Neodiprion lecontei: one gene and its partner. The protein of the gene in region 2 purifies or fractionates together with the protein of the main gene of each other region. This does not show direct contact. Links are inferred from orthologs where the notes say so. Each region holds a gene or a part of one and is shown on either strand. Other genes may lie near its edges. The genes, in order: eukaryotic translation initiation factor 4 gamma 1 and polyadenylate-binding protein 1.

The links.
Region 1: the proteins of polyadenylate-binding protein 1 (region 2) and eukaryotic translation initiation factor 4 gamma 1 purify together in Drosophila melanogaster (affinity purification with western blotting; 3 studies listed by BioGRID, with this or other methods). This does not show direct contact. The link is inferred for Neodiprion lecontei from reciprocal best matches to the Drosophila melanogaster genes pAbp and eIF4G1.

Annotation. Positions count from the first base shown.
Region 1 is NC_060263.1:38,444,385-38,449,513, reverse strand, and holds the start of eukaryotic translation initiation factor 4 gamma 1, read left to right. Parts: upstream 1-2,064; 5' UTR 2,065-4,017; coding exon 4,018-4,405; intron 4,406-5,129.
Region 2 is NC_060264.1:21,286,734-21,291,608, reverse strand, and holds the start of polyadenylate-binding protein 1, read right to left. Parts: upstream 3,209-4,875; 5' UTR 2,458-3,208; coding exon 2,253-2,457; intron 1-2,252. Other genes in the region: putative nuclease HARBI1, read right to left, coding at 4,800-4,875.

The DNA of each region.
Region 1 (5,129 bases), on a different chromosome or scaffold from region 2:
TGTTTGCTCGTTGACCGTGTCTTTTGCCCGTACGTTTGAACGTGTCTCTTTTTGTATTCATTTCTTATTATTATTATTATCTAATTCTTATTCCTCAAGATTCTGGTAAATAAGTCGGCAGTCAGTTTCCTATCGGAATAATAACATCTTGTTATTGTTTTTGGCTTATAGCAAATCTAGTGAATCTCGACGTTATGTCAATTCTTGTGATTATGCATGACATTGCCTTCGGTGATGAGTAGAAGTCGAAATTTTAAGACATGAAAAGAAACATGACAAGGTTCTTAGTCGCTATGTTACACCATGCCTTTGGATGTTTTGCAATTTAAAAAACAAAAAAAAAGTAAGTAAATAAACAAAACAAAAAAAAAGACTCAGCTGATGACGAGAGTTCGTTCATCGTGCGATCTTGAGACAATCGGGCATCTGTTCGAAGGCTTGAGTGCAAATTCTTGACGACCTAGTTGAATTATACGCAACGATTGTTCGATTCAAAAGGATGCTGATAATTTTACACATTGGCATTATACAGACATCTTTTTTAGAATTCATTACGTTCTACTGCAAGGAATGGTGAAAATTATCCTTGTTATTATTCTGGTGTTATACTACACTATGATGGTGAAATATGCATACAGCATTGTAGCATAATTCTCTGAAGAGACTAATTAAGTGGCGTTTTGTTCGGCGGCACCGGAACGAGTAACAATATAAATGTATTTAGGTCACAATCTCCTTGTTAAACCTAAATTACGTTAAGCTAAATATATAACATGCGATGATACGGCAGATATTGAACGATTCTAAAAATAAAATTACGTATTTGGTGGCTCCGTACCAGAATAAATTCTATTTCGCTAGTTTCGCTTCTCCCTCGACCTCCTGTAGTATGGATATTATGTTTTATCTGCTCTAATCTCAAACAGCAAACGCTACGTGAAAACTTAGAACCCATCGGCTTTGGGAGTGTTGGTCAACAGGTCGGATGCCAACCGATACTGAAAAATGAGACTGCTTAGAAGTTTTTTTTTTTTTTTGGTAAAATTTTAAACAGCCTTTCTTATCGTCTGAAACAATAATAATCTATACCATTACGTGTACCGGAATTGAATATATAATATTTAGCTGGCACAATATACCTGTAATAATCGTTAATTATTTCTGGAATCAAATAATCCCCGCGGTAAAAGCCTTGACGTAGAATGAAAAGAATTTCATTATAGCTGTAATAGTTGACAGCGCGTCATGCGACTCGGGAATGAAAAAAGAAGGTGACGAAAAAGATCCCTCGCGGCATTGGGTAAAACAGGAATCTGCAATTGAACTTTTAATTTCAAATCTCTGTTCTACCGTCGTTCGGTTTATTTTGTAAAAATCGCTCACGCGTGATTCTAAAGAGCATAAAAAATATTTCCTCAACAAAAACCAATTTGACAGGGTAACGTTAACCGTTGAAAATAGCTTGGAAGTTTTTTGAAAATCGAACGTGTACGTTATCATCGACCATACGGTGGCAGTCGGCGGCGTGAGCTTAGACAAACTTGGTTAGCGTGCACAGAGTATAGAGTTGCAGGTATGTACACGCATGCATACAACACAATGTACGACGCGTGCACGGCGTCGGCGTGGCTCGTTGACGATAGTGAGAGATAGAGAGAGAGAGAGAGAGAGAGAGATAGAGAGTGGGGGTAGAAACACTTGACAAATGTTTCTCGGCGACGAATCGTAACGCGAGATTAAACCGAGCGTTTACGAAGTTTGACGAAAATTTCCGAAGTTTGGCGAATCGCTGCAGTGCGTGACCGTTGAGAGAGAGAGGTTCGTTTTGGTGACGCATGCGCCTTACGCGAACTCTTGCCATCTCCCTCTCCTTCTCACTCTCCGAACTTGTCTCGCACACATGAACATCGGCTAAGGTTTCACGAACGTGGGTCGAAACGGCCGACGCGGCATGCGCCTGGGTTCCCGGATCGTCGTTGTGTCAGCCTAGAAATACAACGTGGTGATTCGACGACGCGAATTCTTAGTGTGGGTGAAACTAGCGGCGGTGTAGAGGGGGTCGGGGTCTGCCCTGCATCAGTCTCTACTGCGTCCCTTCGAAAGGGGACGCTCCTCCTCGTCTTTGACAAGCGCGCGGTTAAAATACCCAATGGGGGGTTGACAGTTATCAAGGAAACTGATAGTAATATAATAAATAAATAAATTATAACTAACACGGACACACGAGTACGGATTTTTTCTAAACGACCATTTTAATCAACATATAATTCGTACGATATTGGTTACAATTTTTTAAAAAGTATACTTCGAAACCGCGATCCGAGACAGAATAATACCAAGATATATGTTTACACGTGTATGTATTGCTCTTCGTCGCAAGATCGTCCATCGGTTTTCCTAGGACACGAAACTATAGAAAAGACCGTTTGTTCCGTTGTATATTTTCAACTTTTTTTTAACGTAATTATTTTATTTGGACAATTGATTGTATTAAGTAATATTGTGCCATAATTCGCGTGTGTGTTGTCACTGTGGATTGATGAAAGTTCTCTTTTTTCATTCCCCCGCCACTTGACCGTTTCGTTTTTCCTTTTTTTTACGGTAATGTAAAAATTGAATCAGAACAAAAACTGTAGAAGATCTGAGACATCGAAACGAAAACTTTGAGGAAGAAAACGTCGAGGGTCGATTGATTCAGTGTGCTGTTTTTTTTTCATTGATGTTGTTGTTTATTTGACAATAAGTGACGTTTGGAAACGTTGGGTCTTTTTGTTGTCTCTTTTTTGTTTTAGCTCAAATTACGGTTAGTTTTCCTTTCTTCTTTCTTCTCGTTACACACAGCGCGAACGACGAGAAGCCGTACGTTGATTATTATTTACCAAGATTTTAAAACCAATTTGGAAAATATTATATGTAAACGAACACTGTATCTAGTTTATTAGTTTTATTTAACTACTGTTCGTGAAACGGGATACGACAACGACTACGAGGACGTGAAAATAAAAATTTTGTTGTATCGAGTGTTCTGCGGACGCCACAAAGCAGCGGCTCTAGTCCTAAATATCGATCTGCTGGCGTGTGCGACCTACTCTATAGTACGTTCGCCTCGAAACATATTGTGGAATGACAGTTGACAACAGTCCAGCTGTCGCTATCATCGTACAATTGACATCTGTCAATAATCATTTGTTGACTTTTACGTTGAGGTTGACGACGAGGACGACAACGACAACGACAACAACAACAACAACGCCAACGCCAACGAGTCGAATAACCGATTCTCACCGTCGAATTCAACGACAACGAGCGAGAACGTGCATTTTTTGCTCCGCCGATAATCGAGGATACCTGTAAAATTACCAACGCTTTCGCCGTAACGTTGTTAACGGTGGAATTTTTTTGAAGACATTCCGTTTGTTTTCCATTTAGTTCTTTTTTTTGTTTTTACAAGAAGAACGTACGTCGAGAGTAAAAAAAAAAGGTCAAAAAAAAGGAAGTACAATACGAATAGAAAAAATGTGGGCGATAGTAAAAATCGGCAGGACTTTGCTCAGAGTTTCTTCGCGTTCGATAAAATCAAGTCAAAGCTTTATCGGAACTTAAAGAAGGAAAAGATTGAAGAAACAACGCAACGCAAGTCAACTATTATTGTGCTATTGTAGTACTACCGGCGAAGAAGACAAATGAATGAAAAATTCCAATAAAGTGTAACTCTAAATTTGAGGATAAAAAGAAGAAATCGAAAAATATAAATACGGAGGCGCAAGAATAATGATTCCCCGTCAAAACTTGGTGATAAAAAAAAATTAATTTGAAGAATATTACAACGATGAGAAAATCCACCTGAGAGGAAAACAATAAGGAAGACAATTCATTATAGAAATTGATCGTTTTTTATACACGTACCGTAACACGCTCCTATTAAGAATCAGTAAGAAGTAAGGAAGAAGCTCGTAAGCTTTTGAGACAATAAAGGTGTTTCTAGACGGCTAATATCTACCGTTAATTACCAACGTCATGGTTTCGCGATACGGTGTTACGAAGGAGGGTGCAGTCGGTGTTACGGTCGGCGTCGGGACGATGCACTGTTTGCTACCCCATTGCGGTGGGCCCCACCACATGTCACCACACGGGCATAACCCGAGCCACAATCACATTCACCACCATAACCATCACAATCATCACAACCACCACCCGCCGGCATCGCCGAGTCCTCACGGTCATCTAAGTCAGATGAATCACGCCCAACATCAGTTGACAATTAATATTAACCACAATCATCAGCTGCAGTCCCAGCAGACTCAGCATCAGCAGCAACAACAACAACAACAACAACAACAACAACAACAACAACAACAACAACAACAACAACAACCTCAGTACAGGATCATCACGGCCAGTGCCAGTAAGTCCTTATTATCAGTTACTGTCAACTCACCGAATACGTTGCCAGTTTTTAATTTTACCAAAGGTGTTGATAGGTGTTGATCACACAAATGTACAGTTATACGGACCTACACGAGATGATATATATATATATATAAAATGCATAATAGAGTGTGTGTGTGTGTATATATATATATATATATATACTCTATTATGCATTTTATCAGGCTTACTAAACTCGTACGTCAAGGTGGCAGTCACGTGGACCTCATGCAGTATTAATAGAATATTCATTTATTCATGATGTACATCTATTATCGGACTTTTTGATAAACGGTCGGTTCGAGGGTGGGGATAAATGAGATCGTGGATAGTGTATAATAACGTGTAGACGTTCGCCTAGGTACGTCTTTATTTCATCGCGACGACAACGACTATTGCGATGACACGCGTTTATCAAACACCTTAGCAACGACTGACTGACATACGTCGTCTTGCATACCATACTTTTACTCCTTGTTCCTTAGGCGCTAGCCTTGCTTGTGCCCACAAGGTGAGAAGAAAACCCTAGGTGTGATGTAACTAGCTGACCAACTAATTAACTAGCCAACCAATCACCTTACTAAATAGTAAACCCCTCTCCGCACTATGAAAGAGACATTGAGACAATAGCGAGACGTGACACGTTGCCTACCGCTGCCAGTGTTCCTCGTGTCATGCTGCATTTACTTACCTAACTTGGC
Region 2 (4,875 bases):
TTGATCAGTCAAGAAGGAGTGAAGAGATACTTCAAAAGAAATCACCCGTTATATTCCAGATGTTTGAAATAGGCTTGTAGAAAAACAAGGAAAACTTTCCAAGTTAAAAAATTAGTGCTGATACCATTGGAAATAAGAAATTAATCATCTATCAGACGTTCAAATGGCTAGGCATTAGTGCTTAATGAATAAGAAAAATAATAATAATAATAATACAAGATCCAAGGCGAAATGCGGAAAAGAAATAAAGGAAAAAACCTACGCATCTGTTCACACAGTGTGCGCAACTTATACATATGGAGCATTCCACATACAATTAGCCTGTACCTCAACCCCTTTGATTTTAATCATTTTCGAGTATGATATTCTTACCGACTCGAAAGGGTCTCCGAATTTTGTTCTCATTTTTGTAGCATAATTTTTTTTTCATAATATTGTAAAAAAAAAAATAAAATAATTAAAAAACCAATTCTAAGATCACCATTTTCAAAAATCTGAATAAATTCATAGATTCTATGATTGGAAATGTGATTTTTAAGTACCACACGAAAATCAATATATACTATTTTTGTCGAAAGGTCCTACAACTGATGACTGGGGTCTGAACACACCTCCAGGCGAACTTTGAACTGCGCTCAGCGCCACTATCGCTACATGGTTATCAGTTTTTGAATATATATATATATATATTAGACTGTATAAAAAAAATCGACTATTTTTTTTTTGAAATTGAAGCTGAAAATAGATGCTGTTTAAGTATCGGCTCTTAATATTAATATTCGGAGGAGCCTCATTGCAATTTTCCATTTCCCATTTAAATAACATTGGAATTTTTTTTTTAAACTTCAAAATTTTATGACTCATCAACGCATTAGTGTATTGATAAGACCAAAACGTATGTTTGGAAGGAATTGCATGCTTCACAAACAAAGGTCTGTTATCATTTTATGATAAATTTACTCTGACAAAAGTTATTTAATGTCAAAGGTCAATAAAGGACCTTATATATACTTACATTAACATATGCACACACAAACACATATACATGCATGTGTGTGTGTGTAACAATTTCGACATGGAAAAACTAAAAACTTGCGCAAAAAATAGTAAATATTGAGATCCCACTATCGTGTGATGCTTAAAAATCACATTTCAAATCATGGAATTTCTGTGAATTGTTTCAGATTTATAAAAATGGCTTTTTTGGAATTTATTTTGCAATTTTTCGTAAATATCACCAGTGGCTGTAGAAAATCAAAAAATTCCCGAAACTCTTTTGGATTGGTAAGAACATCACATAATAACTAAAAATGATTAAAATCGAAGGAAGTGAGATACGTTGGCTGCTAATTTAACGTGGAATGCCCCATATACATGTAACGTCTGTGGCATACACGAGTGGGTCACGTGACATATCCACCGGCGACCGTTCGAATTATTGTTATTCATTCCGCGACACGCATCAGGCATTTCTCTTCTTTCTTTCTCTCGGATTATTCTCCTCGTCGATATCAAGCCGTGTAGTCGCCAGCATGCGAAGTGATTGCTGAATTAAGCAGCACGCATAATTATATAAGGCACAAGCGGGATCCAGGGGCCATAGTACATCGCCATTCATTTCCTGCATTCTTGTTATGGCTTACGGAATTCAATCTGTATAAAACTCTACACTTCATGAACGAGAGTTCGCGATCGGATCTATTAATTTACCCGCAAAGTGTGGATAATTTTTTTCAATACTTAAATTGGAACCTCAGATAGAAAACTGCAATGCTAATTCCGCATTCTGCTTATGGCTTGTGGGATTCAGTCTGTAAAATTTTCATTCCGTCAGCACAGGTTTCGCAGTCCGGTATGCTCACGAAGTGTGAATTTTCGTGCATAATGAGACACTAGTGGCATAATTTCAGTTCTCTTGGACCGGTAAACGGTTGATAAACGTCATATTGACGAATCAGAAATGAGGACAGACCAGAAAAAATGGCGCAACGGCTGCTGCATCCTGCTCATGACTTATGGAATTCTATGTGCAGAGGCCGTAAGGAGGGAGAGTATAGGAGGTTAACAGGGAGGGAGGAATCGACGCCATTGTGGGAGACAGAATAAAATCCAATATGGCGGACGAAAACGACAGAATGCACGTGTCACGGCTTGGAAACGGGATGAGGACGCGAAATTTTCAGGAAATCTGGGACGGACGGATAGCCTCGTAGGTTCTACAAAACTACGAACAACAATCTAGCGTCAATTACCGAAATACTGACCGTCGGCTGGCTGCTGGAAGTTAACGTATGCGTAGCCAAGGGAGCGGCGAGTGATCATATCTCTGCACACGCGTATCGACAGCACTGGGCCTGCCGATGAAAATTTTTCAAACAGCATTGCTTCGGTTATATCCGAGTGCAGATCACCGACGTACAGCGATGCCATCGGATAATTAGGCGCTCCTGGATTCATTTCTGTTCACTTTCTTACTTATCACGATCGTACGATACTTCTCGCCTTCAATATGGCTTGTTATTTGCCCGTGTGATTTTTCCCCATGCAAATTCTCTCCAGACGTTTCTTTTCTTCCTTCTATCAGCAGCTGGTATCAATGATTTTTTCACCTTCTTCTATATGCTGTATCAAAACCAACAAGGATATTTATTAGGTGTCTTATTTTATTACCGACTTTTCTTGGCCTTGGTTAATCTTCTTGATTTTAATAAATTTAATTTCCTTCCTTTTGCGAATTTTGTATATTTTTAGATATTTTTAGATTTTCTTTTTCTTATAATAAAACGCAAATAATTGTCACACACACGTTGTCTTGTTTTATTTCCGTTTCCTTCTTCTTCTTGTTAACACCTTTATTGGCTTCTTCTTTTTTTTATTATTTTCAAATCTCTATTTTTCCCTTCTTCACACAACTTGATATATCAAGGTGTTTATATCTTTTTTTAATATCTTCACAAGTTTCGCGATTTTCACACTACGGTTTTACGATTTTTTTGTTTTTTATTTTTAAAGATTTTTTATAGATTTTTTTGGGGTGGGGGATGAGGATGAGGGTTTTTTTAGTAGTGGATTTTTTGTTTTTTTTGTATTTTATGTTTTTTTAATATAGAAGAGTTAATTCACGAATGGAGGTGGGTTGTGTGACCTATTTTTTTTAGGAAAAAGGAGACACAACCACACGTGAAAACAACTCTACTCTTAATGACGAAGAGGCAGTCAGGCCGTCCGCGTCACAGTTATATACGAAACCGTAGAACGCCATTTCCTACGCCGACAAGTAGTTCCCCGATACGCACAAACCTGGAATAGTACGGTATTCAACGGTAAAAATTTATCTCGATACAATTGTTAATGCAATTGGATTTGTTTTATCAGTTTTCCATCAACTCTACAAGCATCAATAAATATTTAATCCCATTTCAATCGACTCGCGTCGTATCCAAAATTCGTCGCTATTGGCCACGCGACTGTTACGCGCTTGTTTTCAGGTACTATTTTCATTTTCACCGGACGCTGTATGCTTGCGGCGCGGAGATAATTACAGTTTCCTACGCCTACCGACTTGATAAATGAATTCGGAATCATGGTGAAAATTCAGTCAATAAATGAAAAACATTGTAATTTCCATCGTATCTGCTATATCAGCGAAAATTCGCCACATTAAATAGGCTGTTGAAGAAATTGTCCGATAAGTTGTAGCCACCCTCAGTAATCTTCAGGCAGCTCACAGCTGTCGCGTCTAGTTAGGCATCGGAATTCACAGCAGTCATGAACTACGCAGTGACGCAAGAATGTCTGTTAAAGGTGTTCCACAACACCACGGCGAGAAAAAGAAATACCAAAATGGCAAAAAAAAGCAAACGGAATCTAAGGCCCGTATTCATAGTCAGGTCTCAAGGCGGTGCTTAAGACCGTCTTGGTGAAGATCGTCTTATTCGTTCAAGACCGTCTTGAGATGCTATGTATTCATAGTCGGAAAACAAGACGGTCTTCGTCAAGAATTTGGTCTCAAGCGCTAGCTTATTTCATTCAAGACCGTCTTGACGAAGACTGAGCTTGAGACGGTCTTATTCGACGTTCGGTTATGTTCGGAATATTTCCGATGTATCCCCCAATAAGATGCTCGGATTTTATTTCTCAGCCTGTGCAAGATATTCGTATAGGCATGCAGCTCTTGAGTATTTTTATAGTTTATGAACACAACAACGTTAGCGCCACGTAGAGGAACTAAAAAACGGGAACAAATCGCGTACAATTTTTTGTAGTGGGTGTATAGCTATAAAACGAAGAAGAAGAAAAAGAATTTTATAGTGTATGTTTATGTGTATATAATTTTTATATACACATATTTTAACCTATATCATTATGTAAATCTCTATACCGGTTATTGATAAATAAATTGTATTGATATGTTAAAAGGAATCCCGGTGCAGACTTGCAAAAAAATGCGCGTGAAAGGGACAACCTTTGATCTTCAAAGTTCAAAAGAGCAACTTTAGTTCTATTTACTGGCTGTATTTATAATGTATTGAATATTTTTACGTAGACAAATTTTCATAAGTATTATCGTAACTATAAGACTGACGCTTAGTACAATTACGTACATATCAGTATTTTCATGAGTAAGTGAGGGGTTTAAAAATAAAATGAGAACCAATGATAAGTTATGAGTAAAATATGTATTCTAATGTTAACTGTTTGTACAGATTAAATTCAATTTTATTAAATATTTGGAGTATATTCATTCTAAAATCAATTAGTCTTTACAATTAAATTAACTTGATATACATATATTTTGATTAAATGAATAACCGTTCGATTAGAGCTTCGCGTATTGCAAAACCCTCTCCAGGCTGCCAATGCGGTGCTTGAGGT